Linked DNA regions of Lepisosteus oculatus. The protein of the gene in region 1 interacts with the protein of each later gene in a biochemical or structural test. Links are inferred from orthologs where the notes say so. Each region holds a gene or a part of one and is shown on either strand. Other genes may lie near its edges. The genes, in order: cttn and actr3.

Region 1 (12,083 bases):
GGGAAAGATTAGTCATAGTCAACCACTTATGAATGACAAAGTAATGTTTTTGGAAACCAGCTTAGCTTTAAATATCCAATGACTACAAAGTCAAAGACATTTTGCTTTCTTATCCAGATTATGATGTTCAAAGTCACATTTATTGCGTCTATCCAAAAGATATCTTACTACTACACACCACACATTAATGTGTTAAAATAAAAAACATGAACACCCAATTAACATTATAATGCAATTTACAATTACTTAATATTATACAATATTCTGGATTGATTAACTACTCAAAATAAAGGTGGGGAGCTGTGTCAGCATGCGTAGGCTGCAAAGGAACAAGTAATAGGTTTATTCCATGCTGAAAAAAAAGAAGAAAGAGAACACAACGTTTCGGCCGTGGAGCCTTCTTCAGGTGACACCTGAAGATGAAACGTTGTGTTCTCTTTCTTCTTTTTTTCAGCATGGAATAAACCTATTACTTGTTCCTTTGCAGTACTCAAAATAAAGTACTATCAAGATATACTCTAAAGTTCAACAGACACCCCAAGTTTCACATTAGTAATGAGCAGTAAGAACAATAAGATTTTTTTTCAATTATCACTATCGACACCTTTCTCTTATGTGGACACTTCCTTCTGCACTGCCTTCAATACTACACAGGTATGACCCTGCAGCAGAGGCAAAATGAAGTTTGTGGTTTTGAAAAAAGGATGACAGTGCTGTACCTGGTCAATACGATCCGCTTGGACACCGAATTTTCCGCCAAATCCTTTCACAGAGTCGGTCTGAGAGCAGTGTTTGGACAGCTTACTCTGGTACTCATGGCCTACAGCAGACTACAGAAAGACAACAAACATCCCAGACATTCATTGCCAGCACTGAACTACAAGAACACACCAAAACAACACTATAGAAGACAAATAGGTCATGTTTACTTGGACATTTAAAATTCTGAATCCATACTGGTGATAAAAAAAATGACTTGCTAAAACTAAGCTTGCTTGAAGTGCCCAGGTATGATTGCGATGCACACCAAAGTCCAGATCACTGTTTTATTTAACATATGCTTTCATTGTCCCCAAGTTCAGGAGAATTCTAACAATGGAGCAGAATCAAGCTCCGAGATCAGCAGCCATTTTAAACTTTCTGACTTTTTCTGGAAGCTAGCTGATAAGCTGATAACCTTGTTTTTCAACAGGAGGAAGGACAAACAAATCAGAAGTCCAGGATTGCTTTTCTCTGTTGTCCTGAATATCCCTTTGAAAGTACAAGACGACAAGGTGTTCACTACCTTTCACCTCGAGAGTACAAGAGCAGAGAACTTAAACCAGAATATTAGTTGTAATTGCTTATACTGCTAATTTAACTTTTCTATTCACATTATAGGCATTTTCATATTTACTGTTCCAGGAATATCATCACTTGCTGTGAACTGTGAATGCTTACAGCTCCGATCTCCTGAGTCCATTCTGATACATTTTCGAACAAACCCGTTTCCATTAGGGCAGATCAAATGGGTGAACCCATGTGGAAAAGAATGTCATACCACTTCTCACCATGCACATATTTCACAGTAAAGCCGTTGGATCATCAAATATTACCACTGTACAATACCCACAATGAAGAAAGGGATTTGTGTACCAGTTGCATACAGACAAGTGCAAATCGTTAGCTCATAGGAAAATCTTTTTTTCCCTGGCAGGCCTGGTGTTATCCCATTCACACATTAAAGCCAGAATGAGGAGTGTATGACTGGCTCACAATGTTACTGTTGGCATCGACTCCCTGGCCTACCGATCAGGTGGCAGGCACTGGCAGGCAGATTATTTCACCAGGAAATTGACAATTAAGGAACGCAGGGAGGGAGTTATGCACTGACGTTTGCCAGACAATTTAGAACATAATGGATTTCAAACAGCGACAGTTATCTTGCGTGCCAAAGCCAAGATCAGTAGTACAACTGAGAAGTTAGAAAAAAATGTATTTTGTGCTCCAACTCCTGCTCTGTCAGTGATGACCAGCAAATATATATACACACTTTTACCTGCAGTTTAAAAAAAAAACTTTTTGCAGTTGAAAAGCATATGTGCCACATATGTCACTTGGGACCAGAGTATTTTTTATTGCTAAAGACAAATAGTCTGTAATTTACAGGTTTAAATATACTACTACAATATATAGAAATGAAACAAGTGTCACATGGCCTGTGAGCACACTGTATTTAAACCTCGGTAACACACTTTGCTCTGACCACTCATAATTCAAACGAATGTTGATTCAAACGTGTCCAAAATATCATCACTAATACACAGAATTGCTTTTAATTTAACAGATTTCAGTGTAAAAGAAAAAATGTATGACATTTCATCTCCAGTACCTTATCCATTCGATCCTGCTGGACTCCAAATTTTCCACCGTAACCATGAGAAGCTTTAGGCATATTCTCCAGCTCCTGCTCCTTCAATTTGCAATGCTCCACTGAGACATTTTCACGCAGCTTATGAATGCTGCACAGAAGCAACAAAGAAAAAAAATAAACCACAAGTGGCAAAATACTATTTGAAACCATCAACTCATCACTGATACTCCAACTCCTTGTTCACCAAGCAAAACAAGAAAACTTCAGTTGCCCTACAGTATGTGCAAACCTAACATCCCATGCACGCAAATATTAAAACTGGAGCCACCATTATAACACAATCTAATACACATGGATCTGCTAGGAAAGAGCTGCTTACTTAATATGCTCCTGGTGTCCAGATCCCTCAACGGTCTTGGCTCCCCATCTTTGTTCCTTCTCAGATACATCATTCTAGTGGCAGCAAAGTAGGAAAAAAAGATACATTTCAAAACAAGTAGTCAACAAGCTACACCTTTTTATTATATCACTGACTTCCTACCTGCAGTTAGCTACTGTATAGTACAGAACATCCTTACCAGCCCAATGATAAGCTGTACAAATGATTCATGGAAATCCCATTACATGTAATTTTCATTACATGTAAACACTGAAGCATAATTTTCAAACACTTTATTCTGCCACAGCTTTCAGGCAAGCCACTGTTGTTTAATCAGACAATGTGGTGGGGGGAGGGAAGCTTTCTTCTTAATCTTACAAATGAGAAATGGGCTAGAAATTGTTTACAGCCACACCGTGTAAAACAGCAAATTTGTGATGTGTTCTCCAAGAGACATAAGAAGGACATAATGAAAAAATCACTCCTTACCACAAAGTCTGGATCAGTCTCCCAGTCATCTGAGCCATCATCAGTGATGGAAATAGATTTTCCGCCTGCAGCTTTCCACATCTAAGGAAGCAAAATGGAGGAGTTTAAGTACAATGGTTCCTGAACAAGTCACTACTATTTCTCATTTTAATCATTACAGTTGTTTATTTTTTGGACAACTGCATGTTCTGCTATACAAAAGGATAGGTTCATGCAAGATAAAAAAAAATACCTGGGCTGCAAACTGCTCTGCTAAAAAGTTTCAAATGAGACAGGAACTTCATTAAGGTGTTAAAACTACCAGGCTGAAATCTATACAGTTGTCCGGGTATCAGCTTCTACACAGACCATAAAAGAAACCGTGCAATTAATCACGATAAAACACTGAGAGATAATTGCAATGCTACAGGAACTGAAACTAGAAAAACAAAGTGCAGTGAAAAAGTTTTTACAAGATGGCCTGTCAAATTGATAATGGGAGCTGTACTCTACTTTCTCCAGCTGGAGCTGAACTGTCTTGAAATAAGCAGTTGAAAGAAGACGGACTAAATAGTTGAGTTGCTGTCAGTTGCAACATTTGAAACAATATCTATTAAGGCATATTTCTTCCCTAGGCCTGACTTGTGTAGGATGAAACTTTGCATTCCTCGGATGTCGTCCACAATGCAGGCAATCAAATAGCAACAAATAAAACGTCAGTCAAGATGGGGATTTCTGAGCCCTGCTGCGTCTGGCCCAACTCTATAACTATCCCATAATACAGACTGTACAGTCTGACTCAGCCGCACACAGGCATCTGCGGTGTAGCAATGGAAAAAGTTGGGTTTGCATTCCAGATTTAAAAGAAAAGTTCGCATATGCCTCCTGCAAATTCAGCGCAAAACGTGGATTTGAAACATATTGACGGGGAGGGGTGACTGAACCCCTTAGCCTAGCCTGTATCTGTGTCTCCCTCTGGTGTTGAAGTATAAAGTTGAAGTGCAGTTATTTGCAATCTTAGGTATTTCACAGCACAAATACCTTCCGTGCAGTTACAGCTGCCCTTCAGCACCACACCCAGATCACAACTTGTGCTGCTATATCCCCTTCCCGTGACAAGTTTAAGGGACGTCTCCACTGAAAACTCGACTATTTTATCATACGTGTTTAACTGCAAACCCCTCGAACAATAGACGACACAGCTCCATTTTCACTATAGTAACCTCGCATGGGGATTATAAAGTGGAAATGCTATTTTAAATATACTTCCCCAATGAAACAGTTAAGAAGAAATTATAAAAAGGGATGTGTGAGGGGTCTTCGTTATGAATATACCTTTTTACAAGAATCGAAACTTTTGAGCCACATTATTTTGACCAATATTAGAGACTGGGGCACTGTTTCATTTAGAAGGATAATTGCTGCATAAACACAGACTAGGCCAGCACATCTGAACCAAAGCAAACCTGAACAGGAATGCAAATCCGACTAACATGCAAAGCATGCTCACCTTTAACAATCTTTTTACAGAGGGATGCGTTCCGATGAAACTACTTTAGATAACCCAACGTCCACCACAAGACGAAATTCTCTTCCTGCGTTAGCCCTTTCTTTCAAGCCACTGAGTCATCCATCGAACGGGACACTCTTAGCACACATTTTTAATAGATCATTAAAGGAGATAAAATGTTTGCCCGTGGCTACCGAGTAAATAAATTCAATGTATAATAACTACTAAATATGTTCTGCACTGCATCATTTCCTGCTCCATATCTCAAGACTGATCTCAGCCTCTATGATTTATGTGTTCCTGCTTGCGAGTCTGCATTGATATCGTGCCCCCCGACACCTAATGAGGCGACGTCGGAATCTGTTCTACCTGTACTGGGGTACCGCTGTCACGTTGACTTACTTTGTCCGAATGTTTCTTCTCGCACAAATTGTCGCCGAAGATAAAAAAAATAAACGCTTCTGAAGCTAACCCAAACCTCCGTAGTATTCCTGCTCCAACTCCCGATCCTTCCGGCTCTCCCAGAGCCCGACTTCCTGTTACGAGCTCAGCAGCACCACCTGGGAGCCGTGCCGGGAATGCGGAGAGGACAAGGCGAAACGCCAGCTGTAAGTACTAAAACTTCTAACGCCTCGAAAACTACGCCACCTGCACGTGTATTTAGATTTTCTAGGAGAGTAAATGCACGTTTTCGTGTTATACTGTGCCTTCGTCCACCGAAATGTTGTGTATGTTACAGCTTTATAAGGATGTAGTTCTCCTTTTAAAGTTAATGCAACCGTATTTAAAAACAAAAACTTATTAGCCTCTGTTGGCATTGTGCAATTTTTTTCTTGATTAACATTAAAACAAAAAAAAACAAACCTTTTGTATTGCAAAAATTGTTACGATTTTATTAAGTTCAAAAGCATTTAAAGACCAGTTTTTTTTTAAAAAATGCAATTTTAATGAAATCCTTTGTAAAAAGAAATCGGATCAATTACTACTACATGCAACAATGATTTTTTTTAAACAAAGACACAGTCTTTTTTATTGGCAGTGGAAAATAAGTTTCAGTATTTTATTGAAAGTAAGCAATAAATAATACTGTGATAAAAATAGTTCAAAAGTAGTCAGACTGTACATATTTGTTACAAGGTCACGAAATTTGAAATGAGAAAACAAAACGAAGAACATGAGGGTAACATGATTTGTGTTTTACGTACGTCTTATCAAACAGACAAGGTAAAATAAATCAGTACATTAAAAACATTTTAATGAGTCTGTCGATTTCCCAACATTATGAGTATATAAATACTGAGAAACCTGGTGTTCAATGACAAGTGAATACACATTCAGAAACACTTCAGCCATGGATACGATCCAAGGAAATGACAACCGTTATACAAAGTGACAAAAAAAGTAAAAACAAAAATAAGGCTTAAAGTCATCGTACAATGCATTAGAAGGTTATGAAAATTGTGCCACCTTCTACTGACTTCCCACTTGAAATGAGACCACAGTGATCAGGCATTGGTCCATGATGAATGAAACGTGTTGCATCAGCTTCTTTTAAGCTTTTAATGAAGAAGAGAGAGGAATGGAAAGTTTCAGCATCCGTGGCTGGTAGAGTATTTCTACTTGAAAGGACCTTATAGCCAAACAACGCATCTATAAGTGATTCTCTTCTTCATAGTTCTATGGCTTTTCCAAAGTACATTTTGGTATCACAGTAAATGATTTACAGAGATGCACAAATATACAAATATTGTGTGTGTGTGTGTGTGTGTGTGTTTTGGGGTGGTGGTCAAACCTCAATTATTTTTCACATTTTCCAGACCCTAATCTTCAGTCCTCCTGACATACCAAAGAGCGATCTAAAATGCTGAAGAGTTTTCACCAGTTTTTGAAATTCAGAAATTGAAATTGACCTAAAAGTTGCATTTAAAAGTTTAAATCAACCATTAAGAAAATGTGAAAAAAAGGACTTTTAGAAATGCACTCGTGTTAAAGTCACTTTAGCTTAAACCCCACATTTAAAATCAAAAACAAAAAAAGTCTGTGGTCAATGCACAAACAGGTATATATATATAAAAAATAAAGATTAGATAATGTCTGTAGATAAATATACAACCTTCAGACTCATGATACATTCAGTTACATCTGAAAGGATTTTACATTTGATAAGGGCACAACAGAATTTGAAGGAAAAAAGCAAAATGAATACAGACAATGATACAGTATTAGGTCTAAGTAAATGAAATATCCAATCAGTTTACATAAATATAAGAAACTTTAATTCTAAAATATTTTCTCTATGGTATTCAGGAAATTTGTGAATTCTCTAAACTCTGTAATAAAATATTTATAGTGTTCTTGTAAGAAGTAACAATGTCACAGATCTCATCTTGATTTCAGAAATGTAGTCTTCAATTGATTTAATGCTGTTTAATCATCGATAGAAATAGTGGGGATAAACTGCAAATAGAAAAAAGAACAAAGTCAGTGCAAATTATGGGTAATCGGTAGATAATTAACATTGTGTCAGCTACATAGAAGAACTCAAGCCTTCTGCTATGGACAGTCCATGTCATGAAACTTGTTCTATTTCTGCACACCTCAGAAAAATTCAAATGTAATCAGATGTAATATTAAGACTAATTCTTTCTCCTATGTAAGAAAAACTACTTAACACACAGAAAAGCAAATTCAAAAGTCTTCATTTGTGAGCAGATAGCCAACTGTAAAATTCTGGTTACCTTGAAAACAAAGGATTTACTTAATTGACAAGAAGATTACATTTTCTATAGGAAAGAAAAACTGGAACCAAATTCCTGATAAATGACCTACATTTAAGGTGACTTTATATCTATTAAATCAGGAAACCACTGACATCATTTAGTCTAAATTCCCCAGTTTTCATACAGACAAGTGAACACTTAGTCAATCCTTATGAAGTAACTTTTTCCAAACAGTAATGATTTGTTTTAATGTTGTACTTGTGGAGTTACTAAATAGTAATCAATAGGAATAATGTCCACGAACCACAAGCTCTTCCAGTTAAATGACTTATGATCATGTATGGTGACATGACATTGGAACTCACCAAGAGAGGGTGTTAACACGAGTAGGTCCTTACTGTGGCAGAATCCAATCTTTGAGCTCCTGATATACTGCCTGGTCCCAACCATCCAGAGACAAGGTGCAATACAACATGCAGTTAGTCAAATCCAAAAATGTTAGCAAACAAAGCAAAGCAGAATCTAATAACAAACAGCTGGTCTTTTCAGATGGCCATTTCACAGATTGCTAAGAGTACGTTTATATTTGTTCAATAAAACTAAAGGACACATACACTATTCAAACAATGTACACTAAAAAGAAAAAAAATACCTACGCTAAATATCCTGTATCTTATCAGAAAATCGGATTCAAAATGCTTTCTAGGAAAGTTCTCAATATCAAGTGCATGAGCTGCCTAAAAAGGAACATGCATTTTAGCACGGTCAGAAATTAAGATATTTCAATTGCTCTCTGCAGATTTCTTGTAAATGCAAAAGTGGTTATGGATTTCACTTTAAAAAAAAGTGAAGCATAAAAACTGCTGTAATTAATACTTTCATATCAATTCAGACAGATCAGCATATTTTTATAAAGCTGTTAGTCATGCAGTTGTCATGCCCATGAAATCAAAATATTTTGCTGTCATACCATCCATTTGCATTTTCTTTGGCTGCATAGATGGTGAGGACATTGTGTTTGTCACCCTGAAGTTTGCAGGAAGAGTCTCTGCCGACCCAGGGTTCATCCCCCTAACGTCTTTTGGACGAAACTTTTTCCTCCAGGATGGAGCCCTCCTAAAATTCTTGTCATCATCCTAGCCACACAAGGAAAGAACCACATTTCACCAAGTCAGACTACAGTCTGTTCAGCTGAAAATAAAACAGCTTAGACATTTTCATTTAAAAGCTTAAATTTATAATTTAGGGCATCACACTGGATTTTTTTATTTAAGTAGAGAAAAATAGCCCATTGATAGTAACATCCAGCAATAATTTATATTCAACATTGTGTTTTTTACAGGCAAAATTAACTTCAAAGAGCTGCATATTTAGTTTTTCTCACCTCATCCAGTCTTCTTTCTGTACCCAGGGCAAGAAGGTTATTATATTCTCTCTCTAGAATTGTTCTTGCCTAAGTGGAAAGAAACAAGCTAAGCTGTTGATGTAATATTCCTAACAATGAAACCTCCAAAAGTTAATAAGATGAAGACTATCAGTTGCATCCTATTACATGTGTCTGTAATGAAACACTCAAAAGGCACAAAGAAGGTAGAAATTAGATGTCTGTTAAGCATTCTTTTGGCTAAATACTATGTTTGAAATTCACATGCCTCTAAGAATTCCCTAGTTTAACAGGAATGTTTATCACAGTGGGTACTTGGCTAAGTACAGTCCAGATGAGCACTACAAAAGACTGGAGACAAAAGGGGAAATAGAAACTAATATGAAATATTAGTCAACCAACTGCAATGCAATGAAGGCATAACATGGAAATCACAAACTAAATGTTATACAAATGAAATAAGTGTACCTGTGTGTTCTGGGTGGGTATCTGTAACAACAGCGCTAAAGCATTGTGATCAAAAGTTTCATCTAAGGCAAGTAGTGCACCATGGACTCCACTCTCCAACAGGTTATTTGCATATTCCTTGAGACCGATGGACTGAACCCAGTTGACCACTCGGTCATTGCTCCATACCAGCACATCTGAAACAGCAGGCAAAGAGCTCTCGTGAAACCAAACCTCCCAATAAATATTGACATGAGAAGCTTTCACCCATTACAACAAATACTTCCAAGACCTGGCGGTGGACTACAGATTAGAAATATCTGACGGGTTTTATTGTGTGACAAACCATCCAAGTGCCACAGTTTGAAATACTTTTGATACAAGTGGTATGTGGTTGAATGACTTAAAACAGAATTTGCAAGTCACTGGGCAGCTGCAGATCTAGGATTAAGGTAGAAAATATCCATCATTACCTTTAAGTTCCACTTGGGATTCTTCTCTTCGTCTTTCAAGTTCTTTCCTATCATAATTTTGCCTTCGTAGGCACATTACCCCGCACTGGAAACTATTTCTGTTTTGGAAAGAAACCACAGAAACATTAAAATGACTTGCTACAGAAAAGTATTTGCTCAATTGTTTCAGATATATCCAAAGTTTCTTATTCCGTTTTATATTGACACCAGGGGGAGCTTGTAGTCTTTCATATCAACTCCTTAGATTAGTCTATACAGTGCACATTCATTTTTGATGGTCAGTGCATTTCTTAATTTCCCAATTAACAAAACCAAGCAATTGAGGTAATATTGTAACACAACTTTGTTTTTGTTTTTTAAATGTTCTATTTTGGACTGTAATTCACAGAATAATTACATTTCCAGCACTGTAAATTCATCATCCTAGTAAACTATTTGAAAAACTCCACCTGGTTTAAATGCTCATTCAATCCAAATCCACAATGCATCTCCTCACCTGTGAAAACTATCTACCATTTTTAGCTGGCCACGCAGATCCTTCTTTGTTAAGTGGTCAAGCATTCTAGCGTCAACAAGGCACTCCATGAAGTAGCTCCGATACTGAGGCAGTCCCAGGCTGGGAAGCCATTCATTGCCAATCCATTCGTGATTCATATCCCCATACGCTAGTGTCTACAAAAACAAGGTCTAGGGTGAATTCATTGTTTTAAAAAGATACTTAAATAACACTGTATGATTCTTTTTGCTAGCCATTCCAATATTTTGCATGTGGCCATGATATGCTTGAAACTACAAAACACTCTTTAATAATCTCAGAATTTTCTCAAAAACTGAAATAGTTTCGTAAGTATTCAGGGTTAAGGCTGTTATTCAGAATCAGATCCATGGCTCAGCAGCACATGCTGTTACGTCCTGACTACCTTTTCAGCAAATGTAAGAGGTGGGTTTTTTTTTTTACTTTTTTTCCCCCACAGATGTTCACTACGGAGTTCTTTATGGAGACTTTTCTTGCAGAAATACAGTAGGTAAAATGGTATGGTTTTTTCAAATATATCTTAAGATTTACGACCCTCATATGTCCCTGTTTTAGTGGATTGTGTGGCACATTCGCAGAAGTTTACAAATTAATCTATTCCATAAATGTGATCAAGATCAACAGGCCAGACATTTGCTTAATTTTAAAAGTACATCCTGGTATTAAATGATCAGGAAACTAGAATGGTACATCTTTGGTGCAAATCTTTAATGTGTCTAGTCATCCTAAGAGGCAACAGGAAGAAGTTCTAGATTCTTGTAAGTAGAAGTTTGGTAATTAACCAGCTCCAACTTCACTAGCTAGGATGCTGGATTTAATTGTAGTCATTAGTAGAAACGGATATATGACTTCGGACTTCCTACAAGTTATGGAAGACAAAGTTTTCATAAAAAGGGCAAGATTAGAAACCAGGGAACCGAGAGTAGGGAAGCTCCCTTCAATACCTTTCCTCCAAAATTAGTCATAATTTACAACATTTAGAAGTCTACAGCACATAGACAGAAAAATGGCAAACCTGGGCCCAGCTGCCCTCCTCATCCTCCTGTTAGCATTGTTAGAAGTGCAAAGAGAAAATTAAGAAGTGTTAGTAGATTGTCAGTGCTTAGTAAAAAAAAATCCATTGTGGTCAAGTAAAGAAAGGTGAAGTAGCCCCAGATCCCAGGACAAGAATAATTAAAAAATTAGTTGCAATTGTTTCTTCTTAGCATGTGCTACAGTTCTACAGTTTCCAGTCATCAACATAGAGATATTTCTGGATATGTCATTAGAAATATGTTAAAAGGTCTGACTTGCACACAAAATTTAAGGAACTCCTGAAATCACACTTTTATTATTCTATATTACTGAAAATATTAAAGACAAGTAGGGCACAATTTAACTACCATTTGAAAAGGAGAAGATTTCCTAGGCAAAGGAGAAATGGTCTCATGTTATATGCACACTAAGACAGCAGATATACAGTTGCAAGAAAAAGTTTGTGAACCCTTTGGAATTACCTGGATTTCTGCATTAATTACTCTTAAAACATGGTCTGATCTTCAACTAAATCAAAATAGACAAACACAATCTGCTTAAATTAATAACACAAACAATTCTACTTCTTGTCAATATTGAACATCGTTTAGACATTCACAGTCCAGGCTGGAAAAAGTATGTGAATCCTAGTATTCAGTAACTGGTAGAACCTCCTATAGCAGCAAATGTTTACTGTAGCTGCTGATGAGTCTTGCACAACAGGTAGGAGGAATGTTAGACCATTGATCCTTCCAAAACTGTTTCAGTTCGTTGATATTTCTGGGATTCCTTGCGTGAAC
Region 2 (11,834 bases), on another chromosome or scaffold:
TCATCCAACAGACTCCTTTAAATATAAATGAAATGTATATTCAGGATTTTAAAAATGTGAGAAAATAACATACAGCACAAAAATTATTATTAAAAAACTTACAGACCACAGAAAACTAAAAAAAAAATGTTTCCTCAATTTGTTACTGATTGAGGAAACAACTGGCACAAGTGATCTAAGAACGTCTTATTTTAAAAACATCCTTAATTTTTGTTTTACACTTCAAATATGGACTGCTGTATATCTACAAAATGAAGCATGCGGTCTTTTTTCAGTCAAACACTGCATTAATTAGTTGAACTGTGTTGTGTATTGGTACAGTTAACTAAGAAAGTTAGACAAGGTAGTGTATGCAGAAACAGTGTTCAAACCTACAATTGCATCGCAATACGTTCTACGACAGGTTATATACAGCAAAAGGATTTTGACAAATAATATAACAGACCATAAAGTGTTCTTAATTGGTTACTTGTTAAAATTATTTTACGAGCATATTTGCTTTTGCATTTTAGGCAACAATATCCTTTGCTCAGTAACAGTATCTGGAATTAATGAATTCTCTTCAAAGAACCAAAATGTTTTGCAGAATTATTCAAAATGCCTTACCCTATGCATGTCGACAACAACTTGACCTCATTATATTATAACACATTTTCATGTAAGGTTCACAAAATGCCAATAACACCCAATAAGATAACCTCCTTTATTAGAAAGGGTAAACTAAAAACACTAAAAATATGTTTGCAGACACTTGTTATTCTTGATTAAAAAAAACTACTACATGGTTTTGTAACCTACTTTATTCTTTTTTTTTAACAATAGAAAGAGCCCATAAAGTTCCAATGACCACTAAAAGAATTTTTTATGTTCTAGGTAAAATACAGCCAGAAACCTGAAATGTATTGGCTTACATTCCGTGGTAAGACAAACAGGTACTGCACTCTCTTCTGGCTTCCTCTCAGTCTCAGTCTCAGCCAGCAGTCAGTGTGTGAAAGATGAAGGTGAGCATGTAGATGACTTTGTGCATCACAGTCACTTATCCTGGGCAGAAGCGAAAACACAATCCAAAGAATGAACACTCTCTGTAATTTTTTCTAGCATTTCATCAGTGTATATTTCAAAGCTCTACTCAACCTTATGTGAAGAGCCAGGCAAGCTTTTATTCTACTGGTATCCCTTTATCTCCACTGCTGCTTTCAAAAACTACAGCTATATTAATACCGCTGGCATGGCCCCAATTCATCCATTAAGTCATATCACTGAAGGAAGCACTCATGTCTGATGTTATCCATGTCGATGCATTAGAATGGAGGTTACCCCAAAAATGTCTCAAAATATTTTCTAATTTAATGGAATAAAAACCATGGCTCTCTTTCCTTAAGTACATCGGATAGCTTGCAAACAACAGGAGACCATTAGGCCCATGTTGCTTGTTTAGTAGCTATGTTAATCTCAAAGTTCCTTGAGCTATTTCTTGAAATAGCTATTTCTTAACCACCTGGCTGGGAATTCTGTTAAACTCATTTAACACAACTCATTTTCTTATTTTCCTTCCAAATTAAATTCCCTTTCTAACTACTTAGCATGAACTAACCCCTCTGTGTTGATCCTACCTGCTCTCCTTAAACATTTACACAATTGGATCAGAACTCTTTTCAATCGCATTTCTTCTTGACTGAAATGTAGCTCCCCTGCCTTCTAAGACCAGGAATAATTCTTGGTGCTGTTCTTTGCATTTTTTCAAAGGCTATAATATCATTTTTGTTGTATGGTAACCAAAACTAAATACAATGTTCTAAATGAGGCTTTACTAGGGCATTGTAAAATTGAAGTCTAACTTGATTTAAATTCCAAATCATTTGCTATGTACACTACACGGGCATTAGATTTAATTATTGCTTGCCTACATTGTCTTGTAGAACACAGCAGAATCTGCATAAACAACCAGATCATTTTAATGCATAGATTCCTGCAATTCAATTATATGCAAACTGTATGATAATTATACATCTTATGTATCACAACATTACATTTCATTAGTCAACCGAATGCCAAATCTATAATTTCCATCCCTTTCCACTTTTTTAGTATACCTTGTGTTCCTCTAAAAAGTAAATTGTTTTCTAACTATGGCAGAATCTAGATTGCTGATATACTGTAGATCAGGAAAAGTAGAGGGCCTAAAACAGATGTCTGCAGTAAACCACTGCTTAGGTCTGCCAGTTAGGGGTTATGCCCCTTCAGATGACACATAATTTCCTCGTCCCCAGTGCATTCTCGATTCATGTGCGTACCTCATGTACTCCCCAAACCTCAATATATATCCTACATTTACAATGCTGAAATGCTGCTGCAAGAAAAACTTAAAAGAAAAGTCACTTCATGTAACTTTTCATCAGTCTAAGAAAAAGGACGCCGTTGATTTCATTTACAGATACGTACAAACTGCACTGAGGTTAGAATTGGTACTAAAGATATCATAAAAGCAAATAGTGCCTAGTGATGCCTTAAATTTGCAACACAAAACAAACATTATTGTAGAAAAGCAAACCAAAATGATGTGCATTATTTATATTATGTATGAATCAGTGCATTTTAATTTGAAATGCTACTGTATGCGTCGTAAAATACACATGCATATCTCATGCAGAAATGAATAATACAAACCAAGAAGATAGGGTATTTTTTTTTAAATGGAACAATAAAGCAGTTAAGAAGCCCAACAGAGCCCAGAATGCATTGACCACTAAACATGAATATTTTATTTAGCATCTGACACCAGAGAGCTCTGTTTTCGCTCGGTTAGCTGGAAGGCAACAGACTAGTAATGAGCGCTATCTAAGCAGAACTGGTTCTTGGAAGCCTTCCGCCTGGAATTCAGCGAGTTTATTTTTGGTCACAATTAACCAATCAAACACATAACTGTGATCTTGACACAGGCACCGAAGCAGGGCGAAATTCAGACACCCAGGCAGATTCATAGCTGGGAAAGTGGCAGGAATCCTATTTAAATTGCCGCCAATGTTGTAATGTAGTAATGACCGGCATACACTTGTTAGACGATCCAAGAGCTTCTATTGACGTTAATATTTTACTGTAAATTGAATAAGACTATTAATAAAATAGCTTAAAGTCTGGTCACTAGACTGCGCTGTTCAACACAATGTCATTTTGTGTTCTAAAGATAGTATTAATTTAAGTAAAACGTTAATAGTTTAATAACCAAAATACCAATACTTCTAGCATGTTAACAGTGTTATATACAGTATTTTCCGTTATCTCGCACTCCAACAGTGATATTCTCTTTCTTGGACATTGCACATCGCAGCGAGAACCACGAGTTTCGCAAAGGAAATGCAGTCAATCTCTGACGGTACCGCAGATCAGAGTAAAGATACTCTTGAAGATCGTGATCATCGATGAAATGATAAACCCGCATAACACTGGACACGACAGTCCACGCAATCCCTCCAAGACGCCGGCTTCCCACTTCGCTTGTGGGAAAACTCAGTGTCACACAAGTCAAAGCGCTATACGTGGTCATTTTAAATTAGGAGAGTGTGATTTTAATGCCAGACTATGATTTTAACTTGTCTTTGCTTCACCGAGTGATGGCCCGAAAAATCTGTCCGGAGACACGATTTGCATAGTTTTCACTCACACTGAAATAGCGCACTGTTCTGCATCAACGAGAAGGGAAATAAGTCCTCACCAAAAGCTATTTCGGTCTATTATGTTCCCAACTTGACATTTTCAGGTCTTCATAAAAAATCGAATAAATTGCACGAGTGACCTCAAAACAGGGTTCAGATGTAAAACGAAATTATTACAATTCATAAATCAAATGCTTGTAGTCCATTTTGGCTTTAAATTTTATGCACGAGTGTCATTCACAAAACGTCAGGCAAGCAATTTCAGGCTGTAATTGGACACTTAGCTCAATGTAATACCTGCCCCGTGTAGATATTGACATATCTTGAGAACTAACAAGATAGTTATATTTTTCTCTGTAGAAATACACCTAACTAATCAAATGCAACGCTTTGTAATAATCACTACAGTTACCTGTTTCTTAAGGAGGAACACTTCCAAACCCCAACTAGTAAACATTGACAACATCCAAAACCTCTGCGTTGCTTCCTGCTCAGGTGACTGTAGTTATCGTCTACGTCTGACGTCATTTTGAGCGACGTTGGAAAATGTAGTTTTCTTTCCAGTTCAATGTTCGTACCGAACAATGGCGCTTACAGGACAGAAAACTACATTACCCAGAAATGAACGGAACCTGGCACGTGTATTTACAGCGAAACTAGATCATGTACGAGACGGATGACTTTTGTGAATGGGGTCTTTGTGGTTAACTGGATAATACATCACGTTCCCAGTCTCTCATTTTTCACAGAAGAGAATTCAAAAGATGATGGATTGTAGTGCTATTGAACTTGACTTCTACCTGCGTATTGCTGATAAAAGCACTGGAGCCTACCTTTTTCCAGTCACGGTGTAGTATATTTTAAAAATAAAACCAATCAGGTATTGAGAAAGCCAGTAATTTCACTCAAAAATGACTGACAATGATTTGTGGGATGTGTGTGGGATTCAAGGCACAGAAACCATTGAACAGGCTTTACAGCTGGAATAGCAACACGTGTGCAACCTGGTGCAGAGCATGAATTCCAGTTGTGCAGCTTGTGTTGCTTCCAATGGTGGCCACATAAGACACTAACCTGTGGCTTTCACTGTAGACCCCCTGTTGATGACAAACAATAATCCACATAATCAATCTAACTCTGTCACGGCTGCTCATTACATATGCTGCCAAAATAGTTTGTCTGTTCCCCTTGATCCTCAGTTTATATTGTAACACAGAATTTGAAGATCTAGAAGAGAGACCAACAGATTTCAACCGATTTAAAAAATAAGGTTGAAATGCTACTTGAACCCCTAACTTACAGTATGTGGCTTTTCTGTGGTTATGGTTCAACATATGTTTTCTAAAGTCTGGTCAATTAACTATATATATCTATTTGGTCAATTTAAATGTGTATTACTATTCCAGTTTATGTAGAATAATCTTTACCTTTTAAAATTATTCTTATTTTTTGTTGAAGAACTATAAAACACGCTATTATTTAAATTCAGTTAAATTCTAGCTTTCTTGTCCTATTTGGGGAAATTCGTTTGACAGTACACCCTCAATGTAAAAACACGATGGCTGACAAGATTTACCAACTAAGAAGTCAGAGCAACAGTTCATTAGCAGAAGCTTTATAACAGCTATATTTTCTTCCTTCTACTATCAAAGGTGATTCTAACAGCAAAATCCTACCTAAATGCTCACAAATGCTAAATGCAGTGATGGTGATCTATCATTTTTCTGACATATTCTCAACATCGTATCACTAAAGTGATATACAATCTCTTTGTAGTTGAGTTTTTTAAACACCTTTTATAAAACAGTTTTTTAAAAACTTACATTTTTGATATCACTAAAACAGTTCATTTTTCATCTGATCAGGAAGAAAAAGTAAAAGCTTGAGAGTGTTTGCACTTTATGCAATTGAAGATCAGACACTTTTAAATAGATTTCTAGTAGAGTAATGCAAAATGCAAAAGGATCTGATCATGCATATCATACAGTCTCTCTCACTTAAGGTTATACATTACTATTGGAAAGGTGACAACACTGTCCAGATTTAGATGAGCAATCATTATGGTTAGGTAGGACGCATTTAGGACTGACACACGAGACCTTCCCACTGTTGGTTTCTTTGCTCAGACCAAATTAAAAAATGTTAAAATGGTTTTACTATGATCACGTTCTATTTCGTCTGCAATATAACATCCTTTAAAATATTTTCAGAGCAATTACATGTCGGTAGAGTGATTGAACAGTGACGTAGGTTTTATCTAATGTTGGGGGAAAACCTTTTTAATGGTCAGCAAATGGTAGACAAGGGTCTTTAATATAACAACCTTCATTTGAAAGGTTACAAATGACAGGAGGCCATTCTGCCCATCTTGGTTACTGATAGCTAATTGATTTGAGGCTTTCATCCAGCTGTTTCCTGAACATTATTGGGTAGCATGTTCTAGCCAGACACACACAGCCCTTTGTGTTAAAAAGTGTCTCCTGTTCTCTGTTTTAATTGCAGTTCCATATAATTTCCACATGTAACCTCAGGTTAGTCTTTTACTATTGCTTCTAATGAGGTTAATTGGGTTAACTGTGCCAATGACAGTACAACTAAGTGTACTGTAATATTAATACAGTATACTAATCAGCTCTCTAGCATGGCAGACTACAGGATTTTGACACTACAGTGTTCACATTTAATAATGGAGTTACCAGGCGCGTACAGTATATAGGCAGTCTGATACAATCCAGCTTTATCCTTTGGTAAGGGCTACGCGTTTTGAGCAAAGGCAGGACCACCCGTGCGAACAATAACGCGTTCAAAACGGCCTTGGTGAGAATTATCTATGAAAAAAAAAACACCTCAACGTTACTGGTTGGAGATGTATTTTTTAGCTCTATTAACTGTTTCCAGTACAAAGTAGAGTACCAAACCACGGATATCCCCTCCGGCTGATTTTTTTCTGGGGGGGGGGGGGGGGGGTAGAATTTTGTTTTCAGGAAAATGAAATTAAAACGGTGTGGAAGTAGGTTTTATATTTCTCTGCCCCGTGATTGACAGATCGCTAGCCCTGCCCGTGTAGCTGCCTGTGGTTTCAGCCATCTTGCTTCTCCTCTGCTGAGTGCGGAAGTAGAAACTTCACTGTGAGGGTTCAGGGTTCCGCCTCTGGATGGTCAGATAGCACCTCTCATTCAGCCCCGGCACAGACACTTTTTTCCCCCTCCAAATACGCATCTTTAACCCCGGCCGACAGGAGCGGAAGAGATGGCAGGACGGTTACCGGCTTGTGTAGTGGACTGTGGTACCGGGTAAGAAAAATTCAATTGAATACCAAGCACAGGGAAGCGGAGGTGAGATGGTAGAGTCATATTGCCTTTTCAGTCAGTTCTGTATTGGGTGTGTGTGTGTGTGTTTGAGCCAGCACAATGCTTAATTCATCTCCCGGTTGTAAAAATGTGGCCCTTTTGCATTTTTTGGGGGGGGCAAGACGGGACCTTGTAGGCTTTATCGCAGATAGATTCCCTAGTCTTATCTTTGCGAGAGGGAAAAAAAAAGTATAATTAGGCTGCTACATAATAGCCGCAAGGAGCTATTTGCTTTCATCATCAGAAAATCATCTTCTTCCTGTCTGAGTGGCTTCATTGAACGGGTCCACCCAAAACTCAAGCAAAGAAGTGTTTCTCTGTCCGGGCGAGCACCGAGCCCTTCCCGATTTCAGGTTCCTAAAAGGGGTGTTTTAAAATGGCAGCGACAGGGATTAAACTGTGGTGTGAACATGTTTTGAATCCCCTTTTTTTTCCGTGCTTTAGATGGCTGTCGGAATGAAACCCCTTGGTTTTTGAGCAGGCGCAGAAGGACTTCCTAGTTGTGTCAAAACCTCTTCCTGATTTACGATTTTTATACCTTATATGGTCTTTCTTCGGCTTCAAATTTAGTGTTTTGGGAAACCGCACTTGTAACAATATTCTGCAAAAGATATGCCGAGTTTACCCCGTTTTTAACGTTTCTTGAGAGCAATGGGAATGCCGCTGCCCATATGCTAACACAACTGTTTTACATGACTCGTTAGCTTTTGGAGCCACCGTAGAGGTAACTTCGTGGTTTTTGCAACTCCCTCCTTACTTCCTCGTGTGTGTTGAATTGTTCTCTTAAGCTTTTGCGTCTTAATTTTTCAAGTAAGATGCATTTGGCTCGAACTTCCGTTTGCTGTCAACTAAATAGCAAAAGAAAGTTGTATACGACATACGGTAAACGTCAACATTATAAAGCATGTAAATTGCACTTTTTTTTTACACCTATCTAGGGAGGAGATGAAATCAGATCTCCAGGGACGCGGGTTTTTTAATTATTCTTCACGCTGACTGTATGTATTAGGTTTTGTCTAGTTCCTGTTCTGTGCAGCGTTTGGTTTGGGTTGAGGCTGTGTTGCAGCGCGGTATCTGTGACTGATGAACAGATGGACCGCTTTGGCAGGAATGAGGAAAAACGTCTCGTCCGGCCAATTTTCAGGTTGATGAAAAACGAACAGCATGTTTTGCTAAGGCAAAATTGCTGCCTGTATGCATTTTGAAAGAAATGTTTCTGTAACCGTGTTAAGTAAAACTTTCGGGAAGGGCGTAGCTGTGGAAATGAGTTGAAACATGGGAATTGAAGTGACAGGGCTGGGATGTTCTTCCAGTGCGGTATTCACTGGATTTTATGTTTACATAATACAACTGAGAGCTGTATCTATGGCACATAAAATTCCTGCTGTTAATGATTACACTACGTTTGGCCGTGTGACAGATCGCCGATAAAATATGACTAATAAGAGGTTCAGTATTTTCTACACCTTAAAAAAAAAAAAAAAGAAGTCTGTCCCCAGCTGCCAGAAATTCAGTTCCTGCTCTTCTGCAAGTGCACAGCTCTGGTTCTGCTATTGTTAAGAAAAAGGAAACCGCAGCTGTGACGTCACCCGCTGAAGACCAACGAGTGTGAACGTTGTAGAGAGGGGAGATGATCAATTTATTGTCCGGGTTTTTTTAATCTATAGAATATTTTTTTTTTGGGGGGGTGGTCCAGAATAATGCTGGTCCTTCATGCACTATGTACTTTAAGTTATGGTAAGGCCCCTGTCTGTGTCTCTGATGTTCACCTTTTTTGCACCTTCAGTAAAATCATTTGACCAGTTGAAATTGTTCCAAGTACAGGGATCAACCATAATATGGGGTGAACTCCACCTGACTTCTGTTTAGTTTGTGTGGTTCTCTAGCAATTCTGTGCTGTAAATGTGGATATTTATTTGCGACCAGTCATTATTTTTACTTGGAGCATCTTGAGCTTCATTAATAACTTAGATGTGATCAACTGAGGGAGGATACTGCAAGGAGTGTCTTGTATTCTTTGAACTTAAAAGCTTTTGGTACCTTTGGGTTGCAGAATAACCTGATAGGGATGCTTTGGGTTGTCCTTTGCCTTGTTGTGAAGTCACTGTTGACATGTCCAGAGAGCAATGTGGGAAAAAATGTGGTTTGCAATTTTTCCATGGTTAAGATTGCACTATAGTCATATTATTACGTTTAGCAGAGTTCTTAAATTTAGGAGTATTATACCAAGGGTCTGTGAGTGAATCTTGAGTAGTTGGCCTGTTGTTATAAGACAAAAATAATGTTTCTGCTCAGTGTGTCATACTTCTACGCTTCTATAAATCACTCAGTAAGTCTGTGACTAGTACAGTCTTGAACCTTTCATTCCCGATATGCATACTTTTTTTTCCAATTTTCTATGTAAGAATTAAAATGCAGCCTTACTATTTATACATACAAGCCACTAAACAGAATGAATCTTGTATGAAAAAAATCTGTATCTGCAAATAACAACGAATTGTAGAAAATAGACATGAATGAAAAGGTGAGATTTTTTTTGTAGCACGGTTGCTTCGGCCACAAGTGTCTGTCATACTTTGCGAGACAAACGTTCTTTTCTTATTTAAAATCTAATTTAAATCAGAATAAGATTGAATTATTAATCTAAATTAAATTATTAATAATAACATTGATGAAAGGTAGTTATAACAGGTTGCTGCGTCGGCATGCGGAGGCTACAAAGGAACAGGTAGTGGGTTTATTCCACGCTGAAAAGACAGGAAACAGAACGTTTCGGCTGTGGAGCCTTCTTCAGGTGTGGAGCCTTCTTCCACACTTGAACAAGGGTCCACAGCCAAAACATTTTCTTTTCTTTTCAGCGTATAATAAGCCCACTACCTGTTCCGTAATAATGATCATATCAATCTATAAATATAAACGAGAATATATTTCTGAAAGTGGTTTGGATGGAGCAATTATTTTTAACATATTGCTTGTTCATAATGTAGTTTTTTTTAACAGCTCTATCCAGACTACACCGGTCAGTATCAAACCTGAAACCTGCTGTTGGGCCTTTAGCCTGGTTTGCAGGTTTGTGATTGAATGATGATAATGTATGGCATGGAAATGTCAGGCTAGGACAAGAGTATGATATGTCCTCATGTTTTGCATTTTTAGGTGTGTACTATAGAAATGTAAAGCACATCAACTTGTGGTAGTAAGAGAAGACTGAATCCTTAGAGGAGCAGTGTGGAGCAGTGGTTAGTCTTCTGGGCTTGGACTGATGGTGTACCTTTGAGCAAGTTGCTTCATTTTGATTGTTCCAGTAAAATCCCCAACTCTGTAAATGGTTGCAAATAAGTTGGGATTTTTTTTAAATAAAAGCCTCAGCTAAATAATTGATAGTAATATCCTGTCAGCCATTGTGCTGGTATTAAGGTATGCGGTAAAGGCGGTATGCATTATACTCAACAACTGCATCGTGCTTGTCTTGTGAATTGCTATCTAAAAAAAAGTCTGTAACCCTGAAAGTCCATTTAGACATGCATTTAAGAAATCCATAGCTTTAGTTTTATGTTGTTGTGACGTAGAAGTCCCATCTTTTTTTTTGCTTTGACCAGAAAGTAATTTGCCATATTACACCATCTCACCTTAGTGTAAAAGTAAAGATCTTTTTAATGTCCTTAATGTACTGCAACTTGTTTTAGAAGCTATTTTAGCTGCATAAATAATAGCAGTGGTTCCTTAAGCACAGAACTAAAATAACACCATTTCCATTTTAAGTATAGTTGTAGTATTTTTTATAAATGCTGGGAATAATTTACCTGTAGCACAACATACTTCTTGGATGCATTCTAAAATTCCTGGAGACTTGTTTTAACAGGTCAACTAAGCAGGCAACTGTTCCAGACAGATCCAGATTTCAGTCTGGAATGTCGTTTTACTCCTCCCATGTGCAGGAGGGGGAACAGTAATCTGTTAAGGAAAAGTCTGCGGATAAAATTGTCAACATTCGATAAAAAAAAAACGTTATCAAGACATTCAGCAAATTTGATATTTAAAAAATAAACTTCTTTTAAACAGTTCTTTTCTTCTGTTCTTTGTCTTCAGTAATTATTTTTTGTGATCTAATTTTTGTATGTGTCCTTTTCACATTTTCCTCCACATAAGCTTTTGTTTTTTCTAGTGATTTTTTAAAACACAGTACCATGATTAATGAGATGAATGTGTAATAAAAGAACAAGTGTGGACAGACTAGAAAAGGGAATGGAAAAAAAAATCTCCAGTACTTAAAATATTTTTCGTTTATAAGTAGGTAGATATGCAGTATATAAATGAAGGGTTTCTAGTTTACTGAAGGCTTGTTATTCACAAAGTGACAGTCACAAGTAACATTCCTCCAGGTTTTTTTGGTCCAAGTGAAAAACAGTCTCCATGCACATCAAAGACAATGAAGGCAGTCAAATCCACATCTGGAATACATCTGGATTGCTGTACACAGCTGTATAATGCATTACAAGTGGTTTAGTCATTTATAATGTTCTTTAAAAATGTGTGTGTTTCCTTTATAAAGTAATTGGTATACTTTGACTAACCGTATATAGGGTATTACAGTGGCTGGCCTTACTTAATTTTGTGGGTTGAGTGCCAGAATTAACACATTAAATTTATGGAATTATTAGTGTTTTTTTGCATACCCCAACGCAGCTGTGTGTTGGTGTGCATGTGGATTTTTACTGGCCAGTGGGATTTAATCTTCCTGTGATGAGGTTTGGTGCCCAGTAATGAACTGTTGTTTTTGTGAAACAGATTTAGTACAAGTGTCCCATCTAAATAATCCTCAGATTAATAT

The links.
Region 2: the proteins of cttn (region 1) and actr3 form a complex in vitro, tested with the Homo sapiens proteins (3 studies listed by BioGRID). The link is inferred for Lepisosteus oculatus from reciprocal best matches to the Homo sapiens genes CTTN and ACTR3.

What each region holds. Positions count from the first base shown.
Region 1 is NC_090716.1:5,753,486-5,765,568, reverse strand, and holds the start of cttn (src substrate cortactin), read right to left. Parts: upstream 5,274-12,083; 5' UTR 5,113-5,273; intron 3,738-5,112; exon of another isoform or gene 3,454-3,737; intron 3,303-3,453; coding exon 3,222-3,302; intron 2,807-3,221; coding exon 2,733-2,806; intron 2,502-2,732; coding exon 2,372-2,501; intron 831-2,371; coding exon 720-830; intron 1-719. Other genes in the region: liprin-alpha-1, read right to left, coding at 7,808-7,866, 8,401-8,566, 8,815-8,883, 9,283-9,458, 9,735-9,832, 10,231-10,406, 11,285-11,311.
Region 2 is NC_090707.1:5,680,647-5,692,480, forward strand, and holds the start of actr3 (actin-related protein 3), read left to right. Parts: upstream 1-6,740; 5' UTR 6,741-6,902; coding exon 6,903-6,946; intron 6,947-11,834. UniProt on the Homo sapiens protein: ATP-binding component of the Arp2/3 complex, a multiprotein complex that mediates actin polymerization upon stimulation by nucleation-promoting factor (NPF).